Arabidopsis thaliana: one gene and its partners. The protein of the gene in region 2 interacts with the protein of the main gene of each other region in a pairwise test. Each region holds a gene or a part of one and is shown on either strand. Other genes may lie near its edges.

The links. Proteins that work in one complex are often made in the same cells at the same time.
Region 1: the proteins of BAK1 (region 2) and AGG2 interact in a two-hybrid assay, tested with the Arabidopsis thaliana proteins (one study listed by BioGRID).
Region 3: the proteins of BAK1 (region 2) and BSL2 come close enough for resonance energy transfer, tested with the Arabidopsis thaliana proteins (one study listed by BioGRID).

Annotation. Positions count from the first base shown.
Region 1 is NC_003074.8:8,131,112-8,137,360, reverse strand, and holds AGG2 (G-protein gamma subunit 2), read right to left. Parts: upstream 3,285-6,249; 5' UTR 2,887-3,284; coding exon 2,767-2,886; intron 2,046-2,766; coding exon 1,993-2,045; intron 1,913-1,992; coding exon 1,868-1,912; intron 1,779-1,867; coding exon 1,694-1,778; 3' UTR 1,157-1,693; downstream 1-1,156. Other genes in the region: ARFC1 (ADP-ribosylation factor C1), read left to right, coding at 1-39, 638-997; AT3G22940 (F-box associated ubiquitination effector family protein), read right to left, coding at 4,655-5,893; AT3G22935 (uncharacterized protein), read right to left, coding at 6,231-6,249. UniProt on the Arabidopsis thaliana protein: Guanine nucleotide-binding proteins (G proteins) are involved as a modulator or transducer in various transmembrane signaling systems.
Region 2 is NC_003075.7:16,084,914-16,093,305, forward strand, and holds BAK1 (BRI1-associated receptor kinase), read right to left. Parts: upstream 5,865-8,392; 5' UTR 5,376-5,864; coding exon 5,291-5,375; intron 5,022-5,290; coding exon 4,889-5,021; intron 4,807-4,888; coding exon 4,735-4,806; intron 4,566-4,734; coding exon 4,422-4,565; intron 4,295-4,421; coding exon 4,154-4,294; intron 3,703-4,153; coding exon 3,631-3,702; intron 3,525-3,630; coding exon 3,453-3,524; intron 3,378-3,452; coding exon 3,301-3,377; intron 3,189-3,300; coding exon 3,057-3,188; intron 2,980-3,056; coding exon 2,638-2,979; intron 2,541-2,637; coding exon 2,146-2,540; intron 2,065-2,145; coding exon 1,741-2,064; 3' UTR 1,398-1,740; downstream 1-1,397. Other genes in the region: AT4G33420 (Peroxidase superfamily protein), read left to right, coding at 1-188, 275-463, 561-723, 813-1,192; AT4G33440 (Pectin lyase-like superfamily protein), read left to right, coding at 7,107-7,529, 8,307-8,392.
Region 3 is NC_003070.9:2,646,441-2,653,114, reverse strand, and holds the start of BSL2 (BRI1 suppressor 1 (BSU1)-like 2), read right to left. Parts: upstream 3,657-6,674; 5' UTR 3,157-3,656; coding exon 2,688-3,156; intron 2,149-2,687; coding exon 2,088-2,148; intron 1,974-2,087; coding exon 1,895-1,973; intron 1,784-1,894; coding exon 1,704-1,783; intron 1,621-1,703; coding exon 1,526-1,620; intron 1,427-1,525; coding exon 1,327-1,426; intron 1,250-1,326; coding exon 1,180-1,249; intron 633-1,179; coding exon 531-632; intron 455-530; coding exon 373-454; intron 150-372; coding exon 1-149. Other genes in the region: AT1G08410 (P-loop containing nucleoside triphosphate hydrolases superfamily protein), read right to left, coding at 4,009-5,131, 5,215-5,294, 5,378-5,434, 5,539-5,632, 6,138-6,224, 6,313-6,414, 6,582-6,674. UniProt on the Arabidopsis thaliana protein: Phosphatase involved in elongation process, probably by acting as a regulator of brassinolide signaling.

The DNA of each region.
Region 1 (6,249 bases), on a different chromosome or scaffold from region 2:
AATGTTGAAGAGCTTGTCTACAAGAATATTCGCTTTGAGGTACTGGACTCTTTCTTTATTCATTTGGGTGAAGTTGTTTCTTAGCTTCTTATCTAGGGACGTGTTTTAGAAGTTTGAAACTTTATGGATGTTTCTTAAATTTGCCATTGCCATCTTTTGATTGTGTTATTGTCCCTAGCTATGTTTCTTGCTTGGGTGTGTGCATTTTTCTCGTTGAAAAATGGATGATGTTTTTGTCTAAGTTCTTGTCATGATTGGTTGAGAAGGTGTCAGAAACTCATAATGAACGTTTTCGTATGTGCGATTTATGGTTTTGTATAGTAAATTTTTGTAGATGTTGTTTATCTAGCTTGTTTGTTATACCGGAGGAACTGTTTGCTATTTCCCATTAGCTTAGTTTTTTTGCCAGAGGACTGTTTGGAACATCTTTATACAGTGGTCAAAGTCATGGCCTGAGATGAATTCATCTCTGTTTTATGACAATCTGCATGTGTTCTTATATGTCAAAACTCAATGATGAATATAAACGTAACTAAACTTACTAAAGTTTGAATTGTTTCCTGTCAAAAACTAACTGTTGGACACTGGCAATCGAATATTTGAGGCGATGTTTACTTTTATGATATGTTGTCTTTAGGTATGGGATCTTGGTGGGCAAGATAGGCTAAGAACTTCATGGGCAACATACTATCGTGGAACACATGCTGTGATTGTGGTTATAGATAGCACAGACAGAGCCAGAATCTCTTTCATGAAAGATGAGCTAGCCAGGTTACTTGGTCATGAGGATCTTCAAAACTCGGTCATACTAGTTTTTGCAAACAAACAGGATCTGAAAGACGCAATGACTCCTGCTGAGATCACGGATGCACTTAACCTTCACAGTATCAAGAACCATGATTGGCATATTCAAGCAAGTTGTGCGGTTACTGGAGAAGGATTGTATGATGGGCTCGGTTGGATTGCCCAAAAAGTTACCGGTAAAGCCACGAGTTAAGGGGAAACCAGAACTGAATCAGAGAGAGTACGTACTATTCTTCTTTGTTTCTTTTGTCTCCTTCATATGTTCTTTAACATTGTATCCTCTTGACTTTTATGTAACAAGCTTCAACTATTTTGGTTGCTCTCATTGAAACTGTGTCCAGAATTTTCATATATGGAAGAAAAAAATCTTGTTTTGTTTCAGATTTAAAACTACCACCAAACTCAAAATCCAAACGAACTAAAAACAAAAACAGAGCAACCATTAAAACAAGACAAGACACCATTGTAGCCTCTCTCAGAGCTCACCACAGTCTGCGATAACCACCGGCTTGGAAGGAATCCTGTTCAAAGTTCCAACCTCGTCTTCAATGCTCCTGAGCACGTCGAGTCCTTCAACAACTTGCCCGAACACGACATGTAAACCATCGAGAAACGAGAACTTTTCCAAGACAATCTGGAACTGAGATGCATTGGTGTGGGGATCACCGACGGCCACTGTGCTAGATTTTCTTGTGGTGGCGTGAATTTGGCACTGTGGTCTTCTTAAATTAAGAGACACATCAAGATCAATAGATTTTTTACTGCACAAATGAATCAATTTTTTTTTTTGCCAATTACATCAAATTCACTGCCGCGGGAACGTAAAAACACAAACTCACTCTTCTGGAAGAAGTAGAGACAAAAATATTTTGAGAGAAGGAAAGGAAGATCAAAGAATGGAGCAGCCACATCGTTTTGCTTCTTTAGGGCCTTCGAACCATTGATCCCATGTCGCATTCACCGGACCTGTTGTTCTGCAAGTAGTCACAAAAGCAAACATATCAGACCTAATCATCTCACAGTCTATTGAAATGAAACTATCAGAAAACAGAAGAAGAATTACTCGGGAAGAAGAGGATCGGGTTTGCTGTCAACACTGTCTAAGAACCTGCATCCATTCGAGAAACTAGTCAAGCTTGTGGAATGATTATTCGTGAACCGGATATCAGTTATGTAACAAGTTCTTACTCTTTGCAGGATGCTGATGCATTGTCCATCTTCTCAAGCTGCTCCAGCTCTTCCTGAATATAATAAATGAAGGAAGAAAGTTAAAACCTTGTAACGCTTTTAAGCAAGCATTTGAGTTCACAAATGTCATAACAGCTACGTAGACAAGAGCTTAAACCTCAAGGGATCAAGAGTCAAGATATTATTACACCTGAATGAAATATGCTCAAGAGCTTAAACTACATTTCAGTTTCACTCCTCACCATTCTTGAACCTTCCTAATTACTGACCCTGGTGATTTGTTTTATCAACAGAAGCATATTGTTCGCAAAGGATCTACTCTCTCACTCAAGTAACATTTAGCATCACAAAAATCTCTTTAAAAGGAGACAGTTCTACACTACATTTCTTAAAGTCAGATCGATTCCATTAATCTAAGATCCAATCTTGTTAAGCATATAAAAAGGAACTATATCAAGAGACAAGTACTATTAACTCACTAAAAGCAACCCCACAATACCAACTGCTACAACAAAACCTGTTTTTTTTTTTTCACTCATTGAATACCAACAACAACAAAAACCCCTAAATCAAATTGATTCCCAAAACTAAAAAAGTTTCAAACTTTGAAAGTCTCTACCGTACTCCACTCAGATTTATACTATTCCATCCAAAAAGAGCCGAAGCACAAAAACAACAGATTGATCCAATCTGTAATTATATGATATAATCAGCCAAAAGGCCCAAGCACGTCGAAACAAGAAAGGGTTTAAGATTAAGAGGAGAGTAAAATACCTCTAAGAATCGAGCTTCTTGTTCAAGCCTTTTGAGTTCAGCTTGAATCCTGTGTTTGCCTCTTGTATCAACGACCCGCCCGGATAGCTGACCCGACGAATTGGAGCTACCCGCTTCCATCAAAATTTCTCGAATTCAACCCTCAAAATAAAAATCGAAACTTTAACAAAAACAGATAAGAACCACAATTTTACTCAGACTAAAAGATCGCCATTTGAATATGGGAAACTCATAAACCTTCACAAAACCCCATTTGTTACTGGTTGGATACAAAAATTACAAGGATTCAGAATCAAACAGATCTTGAGAACTCCAACAAACAAAGAGAATAGAAGCAAATTTTATGAGGGGGCAAATAGAAAATTCAAAGTTATGAGTTGGGGAGACTTGAAAAAGAGCTTTTCCGATGATCGAAAGGCGAGAGAAAAAAATATATATAAAAGTTGCGATTTTGAAAAAGACGAAAGTCGACGGAAATAAGAAAAACAAAACATTATTTCAGTCTTGATGGCCATAAACATAAAACTTTCTTCTTGAAACCTCAATAACTCATGTTTATTTTTTTAAAAAGTTAACCAATCATAAAATAGACCATATAATATATATATATAATTATAAAAATAAAAAAATCTATAATTTGCATAAAATTTTGAAAACATTCGAAACAAAAATTTCTCCAAAACACTTATATTGTGAAACTAAGGGAATGTTATTTTCATACTAATCATCTTGCACATTTTTCTTTCTTTATATATTCCCCATAATATTTTATTTCTCGTCATGATCGATCATTCCATGGATCCACATTAATTATCTTTAATCCAATATGTTTTATTATTTCTAGTTTTAACTTCAAAGCTTTTTTTTTTTTTTCTCAGCACATATAAGAATTGATTTTTATTTCCTAATTAATGATGATCCCCATTAGGCCATTATGCACCAAGATCTTCTAAAGAGATACATATCGGACAGAAGAATAGTCAGAAGTACAAATGGTCTGGTTTAAAATATTTGCTACTCAGAAGGTGAGGCAGATTTGACTGAAGAAGATGTTTATGAAGATAACGACCTAAGAAGAAGAGGATGTGGAAGACTTCCAAGATGTCAAAGAGTAAGAAGTTGAATATATATCCCAAAATGGTGGATGGTAATCTTTTAGTTTGAGCATGAACAACTTGCTCTTGTCTTTGATGTTTCCAAGGACTGATAATGCACCTGACCCTCTCACTAAAAAGACTCTGCTACTGAAATTCTGCTAGATAGATATATCGACAATGCCATCTAGTCGAGTCGCTGGTTCGGTTTTAAAAACTTTGTAGAGACTAGGCCAGATAACAGAAGCTATCTCTAAATTATATTATCGAAAACCTGAGGTTCCACCATCTTTAAATTTTAAAAATCTGATTAATATCATGTCCTTTAGCATGAAGCCATGTAATATATATATTTTTTTTTTTGATAAGAATGTAAATATCATATAAAATGAAAGTTTAGGAGTTACAAGAAGCAAAACCTACAAACATGGTCCCATGCCAAAAAAAGGAAAAAAACATGGAAGCATAATCCTTTCGAGATTCATCGCATCAACTAAACCTTAAGCGATGAGGCTCTTAGTAAGAAGATGAAGAAAACTCGATCTAAAGACTCCCCTAAGCAAGAAAGTGGCAACAAAAAAGAGCGGTCTAAACTATTGATCGACAAAAAAGCGCACAGGAAGTCCTTTCAACAATGGCCCGAAACAAACTGAGACGGAGCTATACGGGCAAAAATCGGCTGGCAATGCTTTCTCACTCTACCAAGCTCCTGATGAAGCCATGTAATATTTAGTAAAGTATCAGTCTAAAACATAGCAGTAATAAATCGAAGTACGAGCCAAGAAACATAAATCTTACTGTTGATGACATTCAAGTGACATACTTAATGTCCAAGAACTTTGGGTTTTAAGTGCGCGAAGTTTCGATATGTTTCGAACATATTGACGCTTTTCTAACTTGCTTTGCTGTTTCCTTTGGAATCCTGCAGGTTTCTTGATTTGCACTAAACTCGGAACATAAGAGCACACAAGTGGGCAACGTCTTTTATTAACCGGTTCTCCGAGATCAACTTGTCCACCATATCCAGCCTCTCCCATGATGTGAACTGTGTCGCCGCGATCCAAAGTTTTATCAAAAATCATAGCAACTTTCTTCTCCTCGTCGATGAAAAAACTACCATATGTCAGTGAACTCGGAATCTCATCACCCAAATCAACATTCACTGTCAAGAACTTGCTCCACAATACCTCATTGGCCTCAATCTTAATCGTAATCCAAACCTCAACAACATCCTCGTGACAAACTAAAGCCGCAAGCTTCTCCTCTCTAACACAAGCTAGAGTAACAACACCATCCAAATCACTAAACGGCAAAAGCAGAAGCGGACCAAACCTCTCACTTGTGAAATCAAAACAGATTATATGATCAGCATTGAGAAAAAGGTCAGAGTTCCTTTTTTTAGCACACCAGTAAGTGTTTCCCTTGAGAGTAACACCACGGTTACCACAATTTATCAACCAATGTGGAGTAGTAACATCAAGAGTCGTCCATAAATCAGACTCAAAATCATAGATTTCATACCACAAAACAACGTTGTCTCGAGGGTAATGGAATTCATAATCTATAAACCTCAAGATCTTGTGGTTGCGTCTCTTGTTGTCGTATCCAATAGCGTACCTGTACATGTCACATCCCTGGGGTATTTCGAAAGAACATCTGGGTTTGATCCACCTTGTTTGTCCCCAATACGGGTTCCAAACAACAAGACTAAAGTTATCATCTTTCAAGATACATAACAACAAACCCTCACAGTGAAAAACTTGAGATATCTTGACTTGTTCTGAATCTGAATCGTCGTTTAGACAAATACGTTTACCTTTAATCTCTACAGAAGTATCACTGCCGAAGAAGAAGCTCACTAAATGAAGATTGTGATCCATCAACACGACCATCTGAGACTCTCCTTCTCTTGCTGCTGCTGCTTTACTAATAAAGCTCCGATTTTTGAATAAAGAGTCCCACTTTTTGCAAGTCGATCTCACTGCTCTCGTAGACTTCAATGGAAGTCTTGAGAGTATCTCTTCTAAGGGCATCTCCAACCACAACACTAAAATTGTGTTAGAATAACACTATATTTGGTGTGATTTTCACACTAAATTCTTTTTCATCTCCAACCACAACACCAAAAGTCACACTAAAAATACTATTCTCTATTATTATATTATTAACCTAAAATATGAATACTTTAAAAATACTTAATAATATTGAAACAAATGTTAGACAACAAATTATTACATTAAACAAATTTAATACAAAATAAAGAAACACAACATATTATTTAATTAAACACAACATATTATTTTATTCTTCATTAATTAATATAATATTACAATCGATAAACCAAACATAATAAAAATAAATTACATCGTACTAATTCTCAGAATTAGTA
Region 2 (8,392 bases):
TGGTTCTGTTGATGCATGCCATCGTTGGGTTTCCTTTTCATGCGAGGGGATTAAGTATGACTTACTACATGATGAGCTGTCCTTTCGCTGAACAGATTGTGAAGAACAGTGTTAACAATGCTCTTCAAGCCGATCCCACTTTAGCCGCTGGTCTTATCCGTATGTTGTTCCACGACTGTTTCATCGAGGTACTTAACGTTTTCTGTTTAATTAATTGTGTTTTTTTCGTAGAAAAACCCTTAAAATTAATGTGTAATTTTTGGTTCATAATAAGGGATGTGATGCGTCAATTCTGCTAGATTCAACGAAAGACAACACTGCGGAAAAGGATTCGCCTGCGAATCTGAGTCTACGTGGCTACGAGATCATCGATGATGCAAAGGAGAAAATCGAGAATAGATGTCCAGGAGTTGTATCATGCGCAGATATAGTTGCCATGGCTGCTAGAGATGCTGTCTTTTGGGTAATTTATTTGATCACGTTTTTGAATTACCTTTATGTGATTATAGTAAATATGATTAATTAGTGTACTTAACATAATTAGTAATTGAAATTGTTAGGCTGGTGGTCCATATTATGACATACCGAAAGGAAGGTTTGATGGTAAAAGATCAAAGATAGAAGATACAAGAAATCTACCTTCACCTTTTCTTAATGCCTCTCAACTCATTCAAACTTTTGGCCAACGTGGTTTCACTCCACAAGATGTTGTTGCTCTCTCTGGTCAGTTCTTTAAAGAACTAATATATGTGTATTGTGTGTGATAATCTAATTTGGTTTTAACTTAATAATTTGTGGGGATATATATATAGGAGCACATACCCTAGGAGTTGCACGATGCTCCTCCTTCAAGGCTAGACTTACCGTCCCAGACTCTTCATTAGACTCGACTTTTGCAAACACTCTCTCTAAAACATGCAGCGCGGGTGACAATGCAGAGCAACCCTTTGATGCTACGCGCAACGATTTCGACAATGCTTACTTCAATGCGCTTCAGATGAAATCAGGAGTCCTCTTTTCAGACCAAACTTTATTCAACACACCAAGGACCAGGAATCTTGTTAACGGCTATGCACTTAACCAAGCCAAGTTCTTCTTTGATTTCCAACAGGCCATGCGCAAGATGAGCAATCTTGATGTTAAACTTGGCTCTCAAGGTGAAGTCCGTCAAAATTGTCGGAGTATTAATTAGGCTAGACCACATCTACTTACGATTTTTGTATTTATAATAAGTTCTCTACTCTTGTTATATGAAGAATCATGAATCTTCTAGGCTACTATGTAAAAATTGTGTACTCTCGTAATATGCAGTTGTATACTTATTGCTTGTGTGGTTCAGATATCCATCAAAAAGTAATATACTTTGGTTGCATTTTCTTGTCCAATTGCTATTTAAAGGCAAAAGTCTCCTTTTCTTCTGAACAATCTCCGGATCTAGAAATCACATGATAACACAGAAACCGGTAAGAAAAGAAACCTGACGCACGGTGAAAAAGAATAATTGATGGGATACATATTTGTGAATCAAGTGCGCAACAATCCTCAAGTGGTGAGCTTAAGACATGTTTGGGTTTTAGCTTTCAACAACATTCAAATCCTTTTTCATCATATAACACTTACAAACCCAATCTGATCCTCATGTATTCACTTAAGAACCAATAATATGGAGCAGCAGAAGCTAAAACCCTCAATAAATACAGAGAAAAACAAAATACAGAAAAAACATTCGTGTTTCGAATCTTATCTTGGACCCGAGGGGTATTCGTTTTCGATCTGGGAAGTGGAATCGCCAATGATCCAGCCAGACACGGCTGGATGGTGGGTTGGGTAGTTGAAATCTTGTCTGAACATTTCCTCCTTTTGCCACTCTTCCCATCTCTCAGCTAAACCATCTCCTTCAAGCATTCTTACAACTTCAGACATTTTGGGTCTTTCCATTGGTGAACTCTGAGTGCAGAGTAAAGCCACTTGGATTAGCTGCTCCACTTCTTCGTCTTTGTAATTACCCTGAAGATCAACATCTACTAGTGCTTCCAATTTCTTCTCTTTTAACAACCCTTTCACCTGTCGAAATGAATAATTAACACAAATAGAGGTAACACAGATAATGAACTATACAAGTGGGAAACTCATATATGTATATACCCAGTCTAGTAACATGACATCATCATCATTCGCGAGGCGAGCAAGATCAAAAGCCCTTTGTCCAGTGATAAGCTCAAGAAGCATGACTCCATACCCAAAGACATCGGTTTTCTCTGATGATTTTCCAGTGGAAAGGTACTCAGGGGCTATATGACCAATTGTCCCACGCACTGCGGTTGTCACATGTGTGTCTTTGTAGTCCATGAGTTTTGCAAGTCCAAAATCCCCAACCACGGCTTCAAACTCTTCATCCAACAAAATATTTGCAGCTTTCACATCTCGATGAATAATCTTTGGGTCGCAATGATCATGTAAATACGCAAGCCCTCTTGCAGATCCCAACGCAATACGCTGTCTCTTTGGCCAATCAAGTGGTGGCTGGGACTCGGGACGTTCTAAGGAGAAAATAAAATATAAGATTACTACGGATAAAAAGGCAACCATTGGACGGAAATATTGCAGTCAAAGAAAAAGGCACAAGATGAGAGATACCTCTTAAACAGGAGGCAACACTTCCATTAGCCATGTAGGGATAAACAAGCAATCTTTCGGTTGGAGTCATGCAAAATCCACGAAGCCGAAGCAAGTTTCTGTGAACCGCCATACTAATCATCTCAACCTCTGTCTGGAACTGCAGTTCGCCACCTTGGGTGCGCTCCTCTTTTAGCCTTTTAACGGCCACTAAAGTACCATCAGCTAACCGTCCTTTATAAACTTTACCAAAACCACCTCTACCCAATATGTTCTTGTTGCTAAAATTATCCGAAGCAACTTGTAGTTCACGCAATGAAAACCTCTTCAGTTGTCCTAAATGAACTTCTGGGTCCTCTTCAGCTGCAAAAAGACGGTAATAAAAAAAAATCAGCAAGAGAAGTGTTAATGAGGAAACAGGTAAAGCAAGTTTAGCTAACCTGGTACATCAAAGAAGTGGTCCTGCGGCTTTTTCCTTCGCCACCAAGCTAGTGCAATGGCCGGAACAGCAAATAGAAGTGCAGCACCTGCAGCAACTCCTCCCGCAATCGCTCCAGTAATTCTATTACTCCCTGCAAGAATGAAATGAACAATCTCTTTCTTAATACTTAATGGATCTGCTTAAAATGTTTACTTATTCAGTTGAATAACATTTCAAAGACAAAGACATATACAAAAAAAAACCTGCAGGTGATGGCGGTGTAGGAGAGATAGGAGGCGGTGGAGATGCAGGAAGGGGAGTCAACTTGGTGTTGGCAAAACTGCAAAATTTCAAATAATTAATCAAACATTCTGACCTCTCCACCAAGATTTAAACTAGGAGCAGGATGCAAAACCTGATTGGAGTGAAAAGTGAAAAGGAACCATTAACAGGAATATCTCCGGTGAGAGGATTGTTTGAGAGATCCCTGCATTATAAGATGATATCATTTTCTGACTTAATGCCAAGATCGGCCAAACAATAATCAGAAACATGAACACAGAGGAATTTGAGAGAGATAAAGTTACACTCACAGAACTTGTAGCGTCAGGACAGCAGTCAAAGACCTTGGAATTTCTCCAGATAAGCTATTGTTATTAAGACGCCTAACCACCAATACAAAAAGAGAATGTCATGAATAAGTGGAAATACATTAACCAGTAATGAGTTTATAGTGAGAGCAAAAATACAAACTTTAAAAGACTTTCAAAAGTAGGGGTTGTTCTAAAATCTCATCCAACAGATATGAAGCTGATTGAAAAATCAAGTATATTTTCCTAATTAGCGCGACTTACTACTTTAGATGCGTTCACCCTCTAGATTTACAGAGCACTCACAAATTAATAAGTAACAATAGGGTTTAGCGCTTAAATTCTAAGGCAGAAGAATATTGTTATCTTTGATAGAATTTCATTCTTCCAGAACCAAATCGATTTCATACAAAATAAGCGAGTCAATAACTACCATTGAAGATCACAAAGGTGACACACGAGAACAACCAAAAAGACAGTCACCTGAATTCGGAACTTTGTGTTGTTCCAGTAAAATTAAGCGAACACAAGGATAGAGTTCTGATTCCTTTTACGAAAGCTCATAATTAAAATAGACCATATTATACAACATCCTAGTCTCCAAGAGAACACCTTTTCATCTAGTAAAATAACGTAGCATCTATTTGGCGACACTACTTTCTGACTCCTACAAATGTAACACGTTGCACGAATAGCTTTTACAGGAAGACAAACACGATCAAGGAAACTAAAGACAATAATTAGGCTGCTTATTAAAAACGTATTAAAAGAAGAGAGTAGAATATGGTGCATACAAGAAACGGAGTTTCTTAAGTCGGCCGAGAGTTGATGGAATAGGCCCGCTTAAATTGTTCAAGTAAAGATCCAAGCTCACCAATTCCGTCAGATTTCCAAGCTGTTCTGGGATTGTCCCAGTAATGTTATTGCTATAAAGCTCCCTGTCATTACCATTCTTTAATATTAATTTCACCATAAGATCGGAAAGATATATAACTAATAATCTATGATAATGCAAAATTATGCAGTTATTTGGAACATTGTAACATTTTTAACATCCCACATACACCAAAAGTTAAAAGACGGCCTTTTAAAGAAAAGATGACTTACAAGTACTGCAAGTTTGGAAGCTGACCAAGTTGCATTACGAGCTGTCCAGATAGATTTGCATTCCCAAGGTCACTGAGCAAAAATGAAGTTCAAGTAAATTCTCAGTAGATGCGAAAATCCGAATCATCTTGGCTAGATATAGAAAGAAACTTACACACGTGTAACACTATTGTCGCTATTGCAAGTAACATGAAACCATGTACATGGAGTAACAAGAGTAGCATCCCAACTTTGAAGCACCTTATTAGGGTCGGCTAAACTGTTTTTCAGTGCACTTAGAGCATCACCTACAATTAACCAAAGAAGAAGAAAAAATCAAACTTTGCAATCATCAAGTGTCACGAGGATACATAATCACTGGAATCAGTCGAAACAGATGTAACCCAAATATAACTCAAGTCAATACAGCAAAACAAGTAACAGATAAGTTAAAAATGCCTTCTTTAGGTGAGAACAAGCTCTCATAAGCCTATACTAATCAAAATACTCAACAAGGGAAACTAATTTAATTGGAAAGAATGAAAAATTGAAAGAGAATGAGAGAGAAAGGGGAAACCTTCGGCGTTGCCCGAGACTCTGAGAACCAAATCCAAAACGAGAATCAACCAAAAGAAGCAAGGGATCATTAATCTTCGTTCCATTTTATCCTCAAGAGATTAAAAACAAACCCTAGAACTATCCCTCATCAGAGAAAATCCATCATTGTTAAAACCCCTGATAAAAGGGATCTCGAATCCTTCGATTAAGCTACCACCCACACAAGGTAATACCAAGATGATGAAATTAGAAGCAGAATACGAGAAAAGCCCTCTCAACGCGTATCCACCCGTTGACTTAATTTGAAGAGAAAATCAAAATACCCAAATCGATTAATCGCGGAAACCAAAAAAGCAAAAAAAAAAGAAACTGAAGCTAGACTTTTCCGATTAGAAGGAACGCCGAGATCGCTGACCGTTGACTACTTAATGCTGAGAAGAGAGAAAACTGAGATAGAGAAAACGAAAGGAGGAAGAAGATATTTCCTGGAAATATACTAAAAAAGGGTCGAAACAAAGAGAGATGAGAGAGAGGAGAGAAACCAAGTTATCGCCGAGAGCAAGGAAGGAAGACGAATTTTAATTATTTTCTTTGCTTAAAGAAGGGATTTTACTGGGTTGAGTTGTTGTACTGTGAAAACTATATTAAAAAAATGACATTTAAGATTGAGAAAACGACAAAGAGGATGATGACGTGGACGAGCATTTTCAAAGCTTTTTTAGAGCTAGTCAAAGTCAAAGACGCACGACTTCATTCCGAATCATGTTTGTTATGTTCGCCCACCTTATCATCATCCATCATATGACATTAGATATAAACCATGATGGTCATGAACTCATGATAGTTGATAGTGAGTTATATACCATCATCATAATCCTAATTACCGGCCCAGCTCTATTTTTTCGGGCTTTTATTGTTTATTGGGCTTGGTCTTAATAGCAAGTTCGTTTATTCCAAAGATGAGCAAAAGCTTTTTTGATTTTTTTATTCTTTTTTAAAGATTATAGCTCTAAAAAATTACAATTCAATATTGAAAAATGTAAGCTGAATAATCCATCTGGTCCAATGAATTAAACAAAACAAAAAACATTATTGTATCATATATAATTTACTGGTTGATAGTTTAACTATTTATGCCATTTAATATTTTTAAAAGAACAAAAGTAATTTTGAGGAAAAATGAAATAAAAAACAAAAAACACAAACGGACAGAGTATATGTTGCCAGCAATAAAATACGGACATATACCTTAGTTTGGCATTAAAAAACAAAACAAAAACACAACAAACAACTCAGTACAGTAGGCTATTTAAAGGCCCATCAGATTAAGACTTGGAAGTCTGACGAGATTGTAACGCCTCACAATCCTTCCTACCCGTGAGTCCGTGACCGATTGTGTATCATCCATCTTCTTTCTTCTTCTTTCTTCTTCTTTCTTCTTCTTTTATATATAAACCAAAATATAATTCGTGAAGACTTTCACTTTCTCCTTGCCACTTTTTGACGATTCACATGCACCATCCAATATTTTAGTGCCCTTTTCACGACATATCTGTGTCTGTATCCAATTTTCTTATTTACTACTACTTTTTTCTATTTATATATACAAAAATAATCAAAGAGAGAGACGAATTTTCGAGGTAAGGTATCTATCGACTTTCTATCTTCCTCCACCTTTGTTTGTTGTCACCACCACACTACGCTAATCATTGCCACACACATGCATAATTCTCTCCAACCATCTAAAAGTCCCACTTTAGCATTCTTCTGTTTGTAATTTTATCTCAGAGCTTGCTTCATGGGCTTTTGAGTTTTCTCTCTGTTTCCAAAAAACAATGGAACCGGAGAAGAATCCGACCACAGTATTGAGTGCCATTACAAGACCTTCGTGGGCGTTTCTTCTCCTTGTTTTCACCGTCTTAGCGATTCTCTCTCTCCAAATCTCTTCCAATTCTTTTCTCCCTCTCTGGATCCCGACTTCTCAATATGACGACCCTGTTACCTGCTCCGGGTTTTTCAATCACGACCCGTTCCCTAACCGGATCGTTATGTCGATTACCGATTTCGGCGGTGTTGGAGACGGAAAGACGTCGAACACGGCCGCTTTCCGCCGCGCCGTAAGGCACCTTGAAGGTTTTGCGGCGGAGGGTGGGGCCCAGCTCAATGTCCCGGAGGGCACGTGGCTTTCTGGAAGCTTCAACCTCACCAGCAATTTCACGCTCTTTCTCGAACGCGGCGCTCTCATTTTGGGATCCAAGGTTATATCAAAGTTTTGAATTCTTTAACACATTGATAAAGTTTACTTTTTTTTTGCTTTGTTTGTTGTTGATTGGTTCTGAACAGTAGTAGTATTAAGAGAATTCAATTAGTTGTTGATTGCTCTGTGAGAATCCAAAATTTGGGTTTGTGATTGCTTTTTGATTTGTGGGTTCATAAAGTTTTGTTGGTAAACACTATATTCATTTCGCTAATCACGGTCAGTGGTTAAAATGGACCCACCATTGTTTGATACAGCAAAAAAGCTGTTATTTTTGAGTGGGGATAGTCTCTAGTAGTGCGAAATCTGGATTTGCATATCAAAAGTCAGTGTTTTGCATGAATTTTGTATTAACACTTGTTAATTTCGGATTGACTTGTTCAATGAATGTTCTTGTGATGTCTCGATAGTAGCTGTAACAAAAAAAAAGTCAAGTGGAAGAAACCATTTTTATATGATCATATTCCAAGAAAGGAGTTAGATGTATAGACAACTTTTGTCTGAAGCATGTTCATGTACGAACTAGATCTATCAGATTACTTGTGTTGTCTCCTAATTTAGTATTAAATTATTACTGAGTTTTTTTGCTGTCAAGTTTGATTCTGATTAAAAGTTTGTCTGCTAGTGTTTGAGCACATTTTCATGTGTCGATGTAAACTCAAAAGTCATCTGTACTTATATAGATACTTTGGAACGCTGTTTTTTTTAATTCTTACATTCTTAATTTTACGTTGTAAGTACAATATTGATATTTTTGTCTGGAATTATGGTTTGATAGGACCTAGACGAATGGCCGATAATAGAGCCATTGCCTTCTTATGGAAGAGGGAGAGAGAGACCTGGTGGTAGACACATCAGCCTCAT
Region 3 (6,674 bases), on a different chromosome or scaffold from region 2:
ATCACCGACTGCAGCAGCAGCATGCCTACACCGCCTAGTCAGCTCAACCGAAGCATCGCCACCAGCTGCATCGGCACTATACCTACCAGTTCTAGGACTAGTAACAACTGATTTTGTATCACACCATACACCTGCTGCAGTATCCAATACTGTACAAAGACAATAGATGAAATAATCAGAGAATTGTAGATGAACTCAATGCACATTTTAGTACAAAACCAAAATATACAACTATCGTCTATACATGAGACACATTTCAACAATGGCCAACAGAAGACTAAAAGTGGTGCAGAAATTATATGGAAACTCAAGTATTTCCTCAATGATAATCCAACAGCACAAACATCAGACTGCCTCTTTTCATTTGCTAACCTGCAACACTGGATGAGTCTTCAACCATGCGTCCACCACCAAGTGCCCCACCGGACACATGAAGTCTTGCATTTACAAAGACCTAAATAATTAACCAAAGAATTTAATAATTCTGATGAGGACAGAAAAGAGAACCAAAGAGGAAGAAGCATCCATACTGCTGCATGCTGATATCTGGAAGATGGTGAGACACCAGGGGCTATGGCCCATTCCCAACGTCCATCTCTGTGCTTCGCAAGTCCATATGCACTGGCCAGAGGCTATCAATTCAAACGTAGAAAAAAATTAAGCTCCTCAATCAACCATTCAAGATTAAAGCAGTCCATTAAGTTTCATATTTCACTTTACGCAGAATTGACAACTTCTCATGATCATGTATAAACACATAATTGATAATAAGCTCATTCCTTGTTGACAAAAGAAATTATAGTTCCTTTTCTCGTAGAAGCTTCACGAGGTCTTGCACACAATTTATGTTTGTTACTTCTTCAGAGTCTGTGTTGAAACACACACAAACTCTTGATTAATTTACCTAGCAGAGAAGAGTTACATCTCCATCTGCTCTGGAACATAGAATGAAGATCGTTCATTGGACCATTAATAAATTTGTAGCTGGGGAAATAAAATACTTTTCAATTTGCTCAGTGACAAAACTCAACCTCTATAAATTAATTGACTAAATCTCACGGTCCCATTTTTATCTCACACTAAAAGCAAAAGCCAAAATAGAATCATGCCTCTATAAGTGGCTCAGTGTTTGTTTCAAAGAGATAATTGGGTATGACTGTAATAAATCTCTTCACTTACCACACTGTTTGCATCCCTTCCACCACAGAGGAGAAGAAGACCATCGGAGCGCGCACTTGCAGTTGCATACCTAGTTACAACGTACAAACAGATATAAACAATTACTCCAGAAAGCTCACAATCATAAAGGAGTCTAATCAAACTTACATGCAGGGAGGTGGACCTTCCCCTTCTGGTTCCAACTTACGCCATTCATAAGGCTTGGCGGCAGTATCCAAGGCCCATACATCAGCAAGTGGACGTTTTCCTAGTAGTTCGAATGGAGTTCAGAAGGGTGAAGCTTTAATGAGAATATGATACCCTTACATAAAACACTGAGAATAAGCCAATATGGAAAACTGCTTACCATCATTTCCACCAATTGCCATGAGATACCTTTGCCCCACGAGTGCCATGACATGTCCATAACGAGGTCCTGGTCCAGGACCCTGAACAACAACCCTGGATAGAGACATAATCAATATCAAGACACGAACTAGTAAAATGAATTTTCAACCGAGATAGTGGCAGGCATATTTTCAAACCTGTGCCATCGTGGCCGTTGTTGAGTGAGATCAAGAACATGAAGGTCTTCAGCCGATAAACCAGCAGGACCAATTCCACCCTGTACAACAGAAAGAATTTATAAGCACTTTCATAGCTGACTGGAAATGCTCATCTTACATTGATAAACTTAAATCATACACATAATATAAAAACATCATTTCTCCCCTACCTGAATAACTACCATGGTCCCGACTGCAGTTGCAACATGTGCGGCCCTCGGGGTTGGTGGTTCTCCAAAAGGTGTAAGCCTGTAGCCTCAATTCATTTAATTAACTGGTATCCACACTTTTAAACGGGGTAGGATCTCATGCATTTTTCATAATTAGCGTGAAAACCCAAAGACATTCACATTTAATGCTCACCTAGTCCACTTATTAGAAAGTACATCATAACAATGAACATCAGCAGTTGCCCCAGCTAGCCCTGCAGAGAAAAGAACACCCAAATTAATTAATACAACCAGATAAATCTAGGAACCTTAAGAAATAACAAGAACTAGAACATAGAATCTATCAGCAAATAAACGGAATTAGTGATCTAACATTCCACAGCCAATACTGTGCCCTGGTACTACATCAAGCTCTTTGCTCTACCGATTCCAAATGAAATAGGATGCAATAAATGTTGAGGAAACACTGCCACCTCAGATTGCCAGTTAAATTTAACAGATGTGAAGCTTTCAGAACTAAAGTTTCCAAACTTAGACGATCTCACAAGATTGCAAGCAAATAACCAGCGTATATCTTTGAAATAGGTAAATCTTTAAAAGTTCAAGGCTTGGCAAGGGCCCTCTATCAGAATAATTAAGCCATAAGAAAAGAGTTAACTTTTTCAATCGTTCAGGAGAGAACCTTCAAAGCAAGGAAGGCAAACTACAACTTCACAATAGTTAGGCAAAGGAGAAGGAAAATGTAGAGCGGTGATACTTAAAACTATTTAACAAGCAGAGAAGGAAAACGTACGAATGCCGGCACTTCCAGCTGAAGTAGGAGTTCCGGTGCCACCAGAATTTCCCTCAAGAGCCGTCGCACCACCAAACAATACAAGACGAGGACCAATATAACCAGGCGTTCCTTCATCACCAACAGCAGGCACAGCCGTCAAGGTGTGACCACACCTAGGGCCAGGCCCATCCTCTTTTTTATCCATCATAGCATCCACCACCGAATACGTAGGTGCACACCTCGGACCAACAACTAGCGCCGGCTGCTGCTCTTGTCCAACAACCGCAGCCGCTTGCTGCTGAGAAGTTGCCGGATTAGGATCCGAAGGCGGCGGCGTAGGCACCGATCCGCCTTCAGGAGGAGGTGATTGGTCGTTCATCTGCTGAGGCGTTTCTCTTTCCATAGGCGAAGGAGATTGGCCTCCATCAAGGCTCTGAAACTCACGATCCTGATCGTTGTCAGCCACCATAGACGAATCTTCATCCATTATCAAAAAGCTTCAAAAGTGGGAAAACAAAAAAAAAAAACTAACTAAAGAAAGACCGATCCAGCTAAAATTCGCAGAAAAGCGAATCTGTGATCAACAACATATCTGATGTTAAACTTGCCGCTCTCTCGGAGAATATTCCGGTAAAATCGAAACCCTAGTTTTCTTTCATTCACCGGTCAGATCCTCGAGGCTTGTTTACAACAAACAGAAACAGTTATTTTCCAGGGAAATTAATAAAACGATGCAGCAAGCAGACATTCACACATTTAGGAAAAACCAATTTTTTTTTTTTGTTTATCTCAAGTTTCTCTCTCCTCTCTCCATAAGTACAACAAAGCCTAATCAGTCTTAACCCTCAAGGACGCCAATGGAACGAGAGACACGAACCAACTCATTGCCAAACGTACGAACCGAAATCACTATAACATTTCTATTTACTTTGGTTTTATATCGATTTGGTAATGACATATTTAGCAACAAGAATTGGTTATTGAAATGTTTAAACTTTAAAGTTTCATTATCACTATTTATTGTTCAAAAGAGTCCAAACCCCAAATAAGAAAAAAGTTTAAAGTTACATGAAAACTCTATTTATGGCTATTATATTCTCAAAACAAAGCGATAGGTATCTCCAACTGGCAAAAACAATTCTCCATTTTCCACCAGATTTGAGTTGTCACTTTTTTCTACTTTTCCCCAAAATAAGACTTTAATCATAAAAACAAAAACATCAAGACACTCGAGAACTACTGCGACAGGTTCAACTGCTGTTACATTTTTTGAAAAAAAAAAAAAAACTTTAAGTAGCTTCGGTTGCCATCTTTGCTTGGATGGACTACAATTTGATAATCACCGCATCGTAAGAGGACCTGTGTTAGCTGGTTTCTGGAAAACTTTAACAGAAGGCATTCCATCTCCATCTTCTGTGTTTTGAACCCTCCAAGTCCGATCCTTTTTCCTCTGTGGCTTTTTGTGCTGTTTATGTGACGCGGTTTGCTTCTTTGCTGTCACTTTCTTTGAAGACTTAAGCCCATTGGCAAGATCAAACGAGCTCAGATCATCTAGCACATCATCAATACCAGGAACTTGCTCGTTTTCTGTCTCATCTCCTACTGCAGAGTCATCGGACTCTGAACCTTCGAGAATATCCTCCAGTTCTTGAGTGTCTTCTATGTCCGGTTCATCAGCTTGGGGCATTCCAGGTGGCATTGCATAATGTGGCAGCTTACCTCCAATGTAATCTTTCAGAATCAGCCTTGCAGCTTTCGTTTCATCCGGTAGTCCACTCGAGGCAACATAGCCACGAGAAGCACAGTAACTTTTTAAGAGCTCTGCAGCATGAGGCGGGCGGGACTGACGCTCATAGGTTTTGGGTTTAGGAAGAGAAATGTTGTACACACTCTCAATTACACGGCGAGGGACCTTGTCAGCCACCACCTGAATAGCTTCACGGTGCTCCGTCATCCGGTCAATCGGAAGTACACCAGAAGCAATCATTTCATATCTTGAGCTTGAGAACGAAGGGAAGACTAAACCAGGGCAATCGCATAGCATAAGCTCATCAGAGATGATCAAAGTCTGGAAATGCTTTGTTTTTCCTGGGGTAGAGGTGACACCTGTTCGCTTCTGACCCACCAATGCATTGATTGTAGAACTCTTTCCAACATTTGGGTACCCAACAAATCCAACCACGGCTTGATCACGTTGATATTCACCAGTCCATGACTGTGATGATACGGATGCTGCTCTAGAATTCCTTACTTTGACAATCTCTTGAGCCTCAAATTGCAAACGACTCAACAGCTCGTCTCTGCCATATATCATAATGTCTGGATCATCTGTCTTCTGCAAGTTATCGGGTTGTCTCCATTGCTCTTTCAAGACTTTACCTTCTAGGGTAGCTGTAGCAGCTATGGCTGACCAGAAAACAAACAGAATGTTGTTAAGGCGGAAATATTCTGCCCATTTCTCCCTACAAGTCAAAAGTTAAACCAATCGGTTAGAATACAAAAAAGGTTGGAGGCAAAGTATTAAGGCACAAGAGGATTGGCTAACCTGACATCAGTAGGTAAAAGATCCGCCTTGTTCACTAGAAGCATTATTTTTTTATGCTCATCAATTTCTTGAGCATATGCCTGTGTCACGATGAATCTTCAAGTAAATATGAATCAGGAATACGGTGCCAAGTGGAGTTTCAAGCTGGGAGAAAATGCATTACCTCAAGATCAGGGCAGCGGTAAAACAGTGGATCTCTAGCATCAACTACCATAACAATCTGAAAAAAGGACAAGTATAAGTAATCAAAACTGTTTTGCAATTAACTAAAACGCAGAAATTGAACTTATTGAGAAGGTTAATACATTATTGACAAAGACTTACCAAATCACTGCGTTCAAGCACTCTCCAAAGCTGTCTCCAGATGTCAAGGTTCTTTTCGAATGGAGTCAACACTAGCTTTTCATTTTCCTCAAGGCTAAACCAAAATACAGGAGAACATGTAAGCATGCGTAACACCTATAAACTTCCCAATCCAAAAGATTGATTAGGGTCAAACATCTATAAACTCTAGTTTGGTTTATATACGAAAGATATCTTGAACACAACTCGATTCTATAAAAGTTCCGGCTTTAGCAAACACTATCCTACATGAGATAAACTTATACACAGCACATTATACCAATAACAACAAAACTGAGATTTTCAGTTTCCACAACAAAACTGGGAAATGGATACAAGAATGAGATCTTCTCAGCTTATCCCATTTCGACCTTCTCAGTACGATACAAAGGTAGAATATTTGCTCAAAATACATGCATTTTATCAACTACAGCATCAGCTTTTACCATTTGAACAAAACTATGTGACAGAAGCTGCCTAAATTTTATCATCACCAACAAACAATTTGGTGACAGATATTGATTTGTTTATAACACACCGAAGAAGTAAAATTAAGATGGGGTAGAACAAAAAAAGCTAACCTCACAAGCATCCGGCGCCAATTTAGAAAAGCTTGTTTTTCATTAGCATCAAGTTCTTCCACTGACATTTCAGGTGTCCACGGAGGTCTGGAGATGAAGATAGACAAAAAAAAACGTTGTCTTAGAGCTATGATAGAAAGGAAGAATAAAGCTAAAGAGAATAAAAACCACATACCTTCGAGGTACTTGAAGACTACTGGCGTGTAAAGCCTCCTCTATCTTCTGTTGCTCTCTCCATTCTTCAGCTGCTATAACACTTGAGCTAGAATTTGTGTCTCTGTTTCACCAAAAACATTAGAGAAACAGCACACCATAAGAACATCAAGAGGACATGTAATTGTTCTTTAATCTCATTACCATATTAAATTTATACAAACAGAACCACAAATACCTAATCAATCAAAGGACAATAAAAAAGAGGAATTTAGAAGAAGAGAAGCATACAGATTGATAGACAAAGGTGTGGAGGAGCTGTGATTAATGGTGTAAAGACGCTCTGCCTCCTCAGCTTGCTCAATGATGGCGTCGATGTCACTG